Drosophila melanogaster: one gene and its partner. The protein of the gene in region 2 interacts with the protein of the main gene of each other region in a pairwise test. Each region holds a gene or a part of one and is shown on either strand. Other genes may lie near its edges.

Region 1 (4,357 bases), on a different chromosome or scaffold from region 2:
GATGCCAAGGTGAAGGAGGAGGTTGAGGCCGAAGCTTAAGTGTCCACACGTCCACTAGTGTCCACTGACCCGTGACTCCCGCCCTAAACAATAATTGAAATTATTTACAACAATTATCTGAAGCAATATAATTTATATGAATCTATTAATATATATATATATCCGCAAATATATATGCATGTATATATCTCGCCATATATATGTGTCCACAATGGATTTGATCAGAAATGAAGTCAATAAACAACAACAGCAACAACTAAATTAACTCAAAATCAAAATCAAACTCAGACTCAAACTCAAACTCAACTGCTTATAAATAATTCAGATCAACGATTCAAAACAACAGCCAAACATCTGAACGCCTTGATGAATTATTTATTATATTTCATTATTTACAAATTATATTTTTTAATGTAAATTAAATTAAATTACAAAAAAAAAAAACGAACATTCTTTCTACCTTGCCATGCCCAAAATCATCTTTTGCACACAAACACTGAGCGAAATAATCTTTAAAATGGTTGAGATTTTCAGGAGGGGATCGAAATCTCACGATCTCGAATATCATAAATACAGTATAGTTTTGAATGAAAAGACAGCGATATTGAAAATGTATGCCAAAAAGTTTATTGCATATTGTATTGTAATGGTATTATCGTGCATTTTTAAGGGGTATCTGATAGTCACGACACTAATCTACATCGTGCTTTTTTGTTTATAATAGAATGGGTTTTGGTTTGATTGGAACATGCTTTGCAACATGTACAAATTCAACAAGGCCTTTATAATTTATTTGAAAATAGACAAAAAAAAAATGTGTTTACGAACTATGTATATACCGCCTAGTCGAACAGTTTCAACTCGTCCAGACGTTTCAAGGTGCACTTGAGGCTCTCCAGCGTGCGAGTGTTTCCTTCGAACATGAGCTGCACCTTCTGCCTGGCGAATGTCTCGTCGTGAAAGTTCTTCAGTGAGTTGTCCTCGGAGTCCACACCGATCATGCTCATCAGCGGGAAGAATCCGAAAGCCACAAAGAAACCGTAGGCTTCGCGCTTTCTGATTTCATCCATGATATCCTCATAGCTGGGCAGCTCCTTGGACCAGGGCAGATGCTTCAGGCAGTCCACCAGGGACCTGTAGTAGATGTCGACAAGCTCCTGCCGCCGGTCACGTAGCACCTCCAGTTCCAAGCTGGTGTTCAGGAAGTAGTTGATGTCGAAGCCCAGGCTGCCGTAGAAGCACAGCTGGAAGTCAATCTGAAGGGGCAGTAAAAAGGGCATTAAAGGATCAGTCAATTCTGATATAAACACTAGCTACTAGCTGCTAGTTCTTAGTTGGTTTATGAAGAAATAAATAATCTAATATTGGAGATTGCTGGAAGCCTCAATTTTTGTGGCCAACCTTTTGGTACTTACAATCTTCACCTGCTGCACCGTGTACTCCGCATCGTACTTGAAGAATATGTTGTTCACCCAAAGATCGCCGTGATTGAGCACGTTATGGTTGCCGCGCAGTGGGTACACCGCCTTCAGGACTCGTTCGGTGAAGTGCTCGTGGTAGCGGTAGAGCTTTGTGGTGATCCCACCGAATCCCTCACAGTCACCGACCAGAGCGGCCAGCTTTAGGAGCTGAGTGCCGAAGAGCAGCTTGAAGGGCTCCGAATTGATGGCATCCATGTGGAGCAGACCGAAGGGATAGCGGTCCACAATGGTTTCTGGCTCCCGTTCGGCCATGACCATGGTGAGGGCATGGTATTCGGCCAGTTTGGCCATCACCAGAGCGGCGTGGTCAAAGTCCAGACCCAGCTGGCGGCACTTCAACTGATAGCCTGCGGCGCAAAGGTCCTCCAGGATGATCGTCTGCTCCGGCTGGGTCGTGGAATAGTAGTGCCTGCAAATAGAAAAACGAAAGTTACTCCTCATGGATCCTAGACACACTGCCGCTTAGAACTCACTTGGGAGCCAAAGTCCAAGCGCTGAAACTATCCACCGCCCTCCACATGAGTGCCTCCAGCTTGGGCTTGATGTGCATGTAGAAAAGCGTCTCCTTGTTATAAATGTGCAGGCGGGCCAGAATGGCCTGCTTCTCGTCCGGCATGGACTTGACGATCAGGGATGTCTCCATTGCGCAGCTCTCGGCATTGCGATACTTAATCTGAGCTCGGTAAATGTTGCTGCAGTAGTTTTCCCCGCCACGCGTCAGATTGGTCAGCTGGACACCGATGACCTGCAGGTCCAGCTGCTGCAATCCGTGCTCCAGGGTGCGCCTGAAGAACTGCGGCGTAAGGTACAATGGTGGCTCCTCCAGTGCGTCCGACATCGTGTATCCGTAAATTGCAATTGTGGCGGTGAACAGCCGGCTTTTTATGCAAAATCTCGGAGAGCACTTGCCGATGCCTCATTTGTTGCCTAATTGATCTTAATGGACAGGGCACGACTGGACCTTCCTCAATTGCCTTGATGGAAGTGCATTTGCCGCTGGATTAGCGGTTTGCAGATTGAAGAACATAGCCGATTTGCAGATCTTCCAGCACAGATCGTTGCTGGAGTACCCATTTATTTTATTATTTAAATATATAACACGAAATATTATGCCATTTTGAGGAAATTGGCCCTATACAATGTCTTCAGTTCAAACTTAAAGATTCCAAATATGTAAGTATAAAATAAAATATATTAGTCCTTGAACCTAAAACTACACTTTAAATTTTTTAATTTTTTAAATTTAAAGAAAACAGGAGTGTTTACATTTTCAAACCATAATTAAAAACGCCTGCTACTCTTAAAGGTTAGTTTTGGTTATCTCTAGAGTGGAGGGCGTTCGTATCGTTGGCGCCGTGGTGGCCAGACTCCTGCTGGGCATGGTTCCGGGTGTGGGGCAATTTTTGGATCGCTTGGGCAGAGTAGCCGCCCGCAAATAGGGATTATCGATGTTGGGGTTCTCCAAAATGGCCTTGTTTGTGTTGGAATTGGGCTTGATATCCAGCTCGGGCTTCTCCTCTTTGGATTTGTCGCCATCCATCTCCTCGTTTTCGCTATCGCCCTCTTCGCCGTCGTCTAAAAGGGTGGAAAGTGTTAGCACTCGTGGCATCTGACTATTTGAAAGAAACGCACCTTTGCTGGGCTCATCTTCTGTGCGATTGGCCACCAGATAGTGGTACTCCAGCTCCTCGAAGTCAAACACCTGATCTGTGGGATTTAAAGCGGCTGCATAGGGAGGAAAGGCCGGTTTGCAGGCAATTACTGAAAGGAAATGGTTATTAATTATTGTTCGCTGGATGATTATGGTGCCTCTTACAAGGAAACATGTTGTCCTCGGTGGGAAAGAGGTTGTTCGTCTCCGTGGTCTTGCAGAGGAACTTTGTGAGCGCCTTCTCGATGTCCCGCTTCTGGCAGGCGGCCTTCTCCCTGATGGCCTCGTACTCTGTTACGGGCTGCTTGTGCGTGGGCGTCCGTATGTAGGCGTGCGGATCGGGCATGGGAGGGAAGTAGCTGGGCACGTAGTGGGGATGCGGGGCCTTGATGCCCGCTTGCAGCAGACTCAGCGGGCGCTGCTGCGTCTGCTGTGGGGGCAGTGGAATGGGCACGTGCGTCTCCTTGCGCATGTACGGATCCAAATTGGAGATCGAAATGCCCATGTTAATCAGGGCCAAACTGACATCGCCCACGGTGGGCATCGTGCGTCCACTTAGCTCGCAGTAGTTATGCGCCGAATTGCCGATCTCCCAGATCACTGGAATGGCGTGCTAAATGATTATCCTAGTACAAAATGGTAATCACAATGTCAACTTACACGCCTGCAGCATCTGGGTGAGCGTCTCCAGGCTGTGGTTGCTCGCTTGGCCGGCCCCCTTGTCCAATAGCAGCTGGGACACCACCTTGTTTAGGATCCGCCTATAGGGATCAACATTGGACACTGTTACCGCCTCCACCTTCTCCATGGAGACAGAATTCAATTTGTTTATGCTAAAGTAGAAACCGCAGTGAATATTGCCACTTTAGCGGCTAGTGATGGCACTGTTCGGCACTATCGACTACAGCTATCGGCGCAACGCTCCTTATGAGTTCAAGTGCAACTCCACTGGTTATTTCAATATTTCATCTGGCATTAAGATTTTATGTTAGTTAAACCAAGGCTTGGCATTATAAATCCTAAATTTTCAGTTCTTAAGAGTTTATTGAAAAGCTCAGTGGAAAAACACGTCACCAGAGATTGTTAAACTGATGAAAGACATTTTAAATTCTGAACTAAGTCCTAGGAAATAAAGTAAAAGTTATTTTATGTATTTATAGAAACAGGCAATTTTTTAATAATTCCAACAAACTAGTTAGTTATTCCCCTGCATAAGTCTAAAGCA
Region 2 (4,016 bases):
AAAACACTGGCCGCCAATCTACCTAATACTAATGAGCGGGCCAACCCGACCAGGAATTTTTGCAAGTCAGGTACTTCAACGGATATATGGGTTCGACAAGTGCGGATTTTCCCGCGACATCAATGAGGACTTGGCCGGGTTATCCGCGGTGCTCATCGGGCAATTCCGCGGCCGAGGACTTCATCGTAGTGATCATTAGGTAGATATGTGCATGGATGTGACATGGCGATCATTGCGCGGAATAACACACGTAATAACCGAGATATCCGGGATGACCCACCAGGTAGGATGTGAGGACATATAGAAAACCCCCAGCCAGTTTTTCCACTCGTCGTGGCTTGTTTTGCTTGAGTTTCGCTGACTGCGTAATTGGATAAGATGGGAAATTACTTTAAATCCTTCGCTGATCCACATCCGGACATTCGTCGAAGGAAAATCCATTGCAGGGAAATACGAAATGGAAATGCGGCTGGGTTATTGGCTCGACATTTCCCATCTTCCCTCACGCCATTGGTTGCAGGATCGCGGGGAATTGGAATTCCGCGCTGGAATTTTTTGTCACCTCTTGGGTTTATCAAAACTTTTGGGTTTGCTATGGATTTTTTCCAATTTTACCACCGCGCCTGGTTTTTTTTTTTTGACGACGCGGAAAATCGGACTTGGCTATGCGGGCTTGTCTGTTTTTCCGGGTACAAAGTCTGCATGTCAGCCTCCATGCGGGAGTGGGAGTTGGGAAAGTTTCCCATCGATAGTTGGAGGGGTGGCTTGAAAGTCTGGAGGTGCTAGCTGGGAAAGTTGTGTGTGCGCGATGAGGCAAGGAGTCAAAGATCAGGGGAGTTGGAAAGCGAGAATTGTGGGAATCGTCCAGGACTCAGCTGGATGCTGAGGGGCAGTATGATTTTTTTTACGTTATCAATCGAATTGATTTTAAGACAGCAGAACTTCACATACTAATAAGATGACCATGGGATTAGTTAAAATGTGTAACTCGTATTCGAATCGTCATTCTTTCACGGACCAATCGTGGGAACAGGAGATCTCTTCGATCCAAGCTCACAGGAGACTTGACACTCTTCGTCTATTCCTTGTCAAGTTTTTAATGACATCTCCTATGCCCTGAGCTATGTTTTCCTAGCTCTCATCGATCGCTGCCAATGAGCCACTGGAGATGATCCATAAGTCAGCGTAGAGTGCACCCCAGAGTTGACACTTGGTGTCTCGGAATTCGGCTCATTATCAGTGCTATTTTTGGAACACCTCTCTGCGAAGGTGTCATTTTTGTCAGTGCGTATCGCTCAGGTTCAACTCCCCACCAAAAACCGAATTTAGAGCATCGGCAGATGTACTTGAAGCACTCAATCTAAGTGAGGAAACCACCCCATGAACGAAGAGTACTAGGAGTCCTATTTGACTCGTGCTTAAAAATAGAAAATTACTTAGGGTGATCCATAGGTAGGGAGGCGATATTGTAACTTGCATTTCGGACCCGGACCTGCACGAGTTATTACGGGTGGGTTGTGAGCGTATCGGGAAATTGGAGAGCCACCAGATCTGTCATAACTTATACGGGGGATCCTTATTCCTGGGAGGGTGCGCCTGCGTCTGCTCTTCCGAGAGAGAGGTGGGAAATGGAGGAAGAGAGAGAGAGAGAGAGTGAGAGAGCAGGTAGAGGGAAGTGAGGGAAATACGCAATAAGGGTATGGGAAAAGTGCTGTTGTTGTTGCTAGGTAGCGACGCACACGTGCGAGTGTTTTTCTGTTTTGAAGAAGAACCACCACCAAATGGCGACAGCGGCGTCGGCAGAGGCGCAGAGTTCCGGGTATAAAAGAGCGTGCTCGACTGTTGACCTGTCACAGCCACCTCAGCTCTCGTTGAGAACGCAACCACCGCTCTATACTCGATCCCGAACTATATAACTCGCCTCTCGATCGCCGATCTCCCGATTTACCCATCTCGATCAGTACCGGAAACTAAAACTTAATCACACACACATCAAAAATGGCCGCCAACTACAAAAGCTGCCCGCTAAAGAAGCGCCCCATTGTCTTCGTGGAGGAGCGTCTGCCACAAACGGAGGCCTTGGCCCTGACCAAGGACTCACAGTTTGCCCAGGATCAGCCGCAGGATCTATCCCTGAAACGGGGTCGCGACGAGGAGACCCAGGATTATCAGCAGCCGGAACCGAAACGTGACTATGTGCTGAACCTTTCAAAAACACCGGAAAGGAACTCCAGCTCTAGCTCCAACTCCTGCCTGCTGTCGCCGCCAGTGGAGGCCCAGGATTACCTGCCCACCGAAATCCATATGCGTGGACTAACGGCAGGAACAACGGGATATACCACCGCCACCCCCACCACGATTAATCCCTTCCAGTCCGCCTTTGTGATGGCCGCCGGTTGCAATCCGATCTCTGCCCTGTGGAGCAGCTATCAGCCCCATCTGGCCGCCTTCCCCTCGCCAGCCAGCTCGATGGCCTCGCCCCAGTCGGTCTACAGCTACCAGCAGATGACGCCGCCCTCCAGCCCCGGATCCGATCTGGAAACCGGTTCCGAGCCAGAGGATCTTTCAGTGCGAAATGACATCCCACTGCCGGCTCTGTTCCACCTTTTCGATGAGGCCAAGTCCAGCAGCAGCGGTGCCAGTGTAAGCAGCTCATCGGGATACTCCTACACTCCGGCCATGAGTGCCTCGTCGGCGAGTGTTGCCGCCAATCATGCCAAAAACTACCGCTTCAAGTGCGACGAGTGCCAGAAGATGTACTCCACCTCGATGGGCCTGTCCAAGCACCGTCAGTTCCACTGCCCGGCAGCCGAGTGTAATCAGGAGAAGAAGACCCACTCCTGCGAGGAGTGTGGAAAGCTGTACACCACCATTGGAGCCCTGAAGATGCACATCCGCACCCACACTCTGCCCTGCAAGTGCCCCATTTGCGGCAAGGCCTTCTCTCGACCCTGGCTGCTCCAGGGACACATCCGCACCCACACTGGAGAGAAGCCTTTCCAGTGCCCCGACTGCCCACGATCCTTTGCCGACCGCTCGAACCTGCGAGCTCATCAGCAGACCCACGTGGACGTCAAGAAGTACGCCTGCCAGGTGTGCCACAAATCTTTCTCCAGGATGTCGCTCCTGAACAAGCACTCCAGCTCCAACTGCACCATCACTATTGCGTAGGATTCTCGACATATGAATCCCTTAGCAGGACACAATTACCTAAGCAAACTCACATTCCGCTGGCGAAGACCAAACAAACAGACAATACCTATTATAAGTTTGTACTAAGTCGATTCGGTTTTGGTGCTACTATTACTATATTTATTTCAGCTATAGTATTCTAAGTTTAAGTTCATGTATATTGCCTCATTGTCACACGCAGCATTTTACCAAATCTATTCATTTAATTATAATATACCCTTATTTATGTATTCTCAGTACTGTTAAGCCAACTGTTGTTAAGATTATTCCTAGCTTAAAGAGAAGAATTAAATATTTTTATAAAATAAAACTCACGAAAAGAAATTTATATGGTCTTTATTATTTTTAACAATTTTGAAAGAAATTCTCACAGAAGGAAACTGTATAGAAATATTCAATTTAAATTCTATCACTAATATTTGGGCTCAAATACAGACAGATGTGAATAAAAAAATTTAAAAATTTGTAACCAAAAGTTATAGAAAACATTTTAGGTAGTAACAGCATTCATCGAAACGCATTAAAAAAATGTAATCTTTCCTTCTACAGTTTCTATGTGCCTTCAAAATGTACAATAATTAACAGGAAACCAAACATCCGCATTTTGGGGTCTGCCCCTGTTCATATTTTGTGACAATTTCCGCCAACCCTCTCGAAAAACAGAAATCACAACAATAGCAATATCGAATTCTCGGAGAAAACACCTTTGGCATGTGCAAACAGGGAACCGATTTGTCATACACTTTCCTTTTCGGGGACTTCCTTCTAACCCGCCCCCATTAATAGCATTCCATCAATTTCAATCCATATCGCTCGGCGTTTTG

What was found.
Region 1: the proteins of sna (region 2) and CG7135 interact in a two-hybrid assay, tested with the Drosophila melanogaster proteins (one large-scale study listed by BioGRID).

What each region holds. Positions count from the first base shown.
Region 1 is NC_004354.4:18,101,643-18,105,999, reverse strand, and holds CG7135 (uncharacterized protein), read right to left. Parts: upstream 2,348-4,357; 5' UTR 2,320-2,347; coding exon 1,955-2,319; intron 1,891-1,954; coding exon 1,416-1,890; intron 1,257-1,415; coding exon 843-1,256; 3' UTR 607-842; downstream 1-606. Other genes in the region: wupA (wings up A), read left to right, coding at 1-39; Taf8 (TBP-associated factor 8), read right to left, coding at 2,782-3,056, 3,114-3,242, 3,298-3,732, 3,793-3,940.
Region 2 is NT_033779.5:15,476,090-15,480,105, reverse strand, and holds sna (snail), read left to right. Parts: upstream 1-1,845; 5' UTR 1,846-1,998; coding exon 1,999-3,171; 3' UTR 3,172-3,513; downstream 3,514-4,016. UniProt on the Drosophila melanogaster protein: Essential for the correct specification of ventral-dorsal patterns.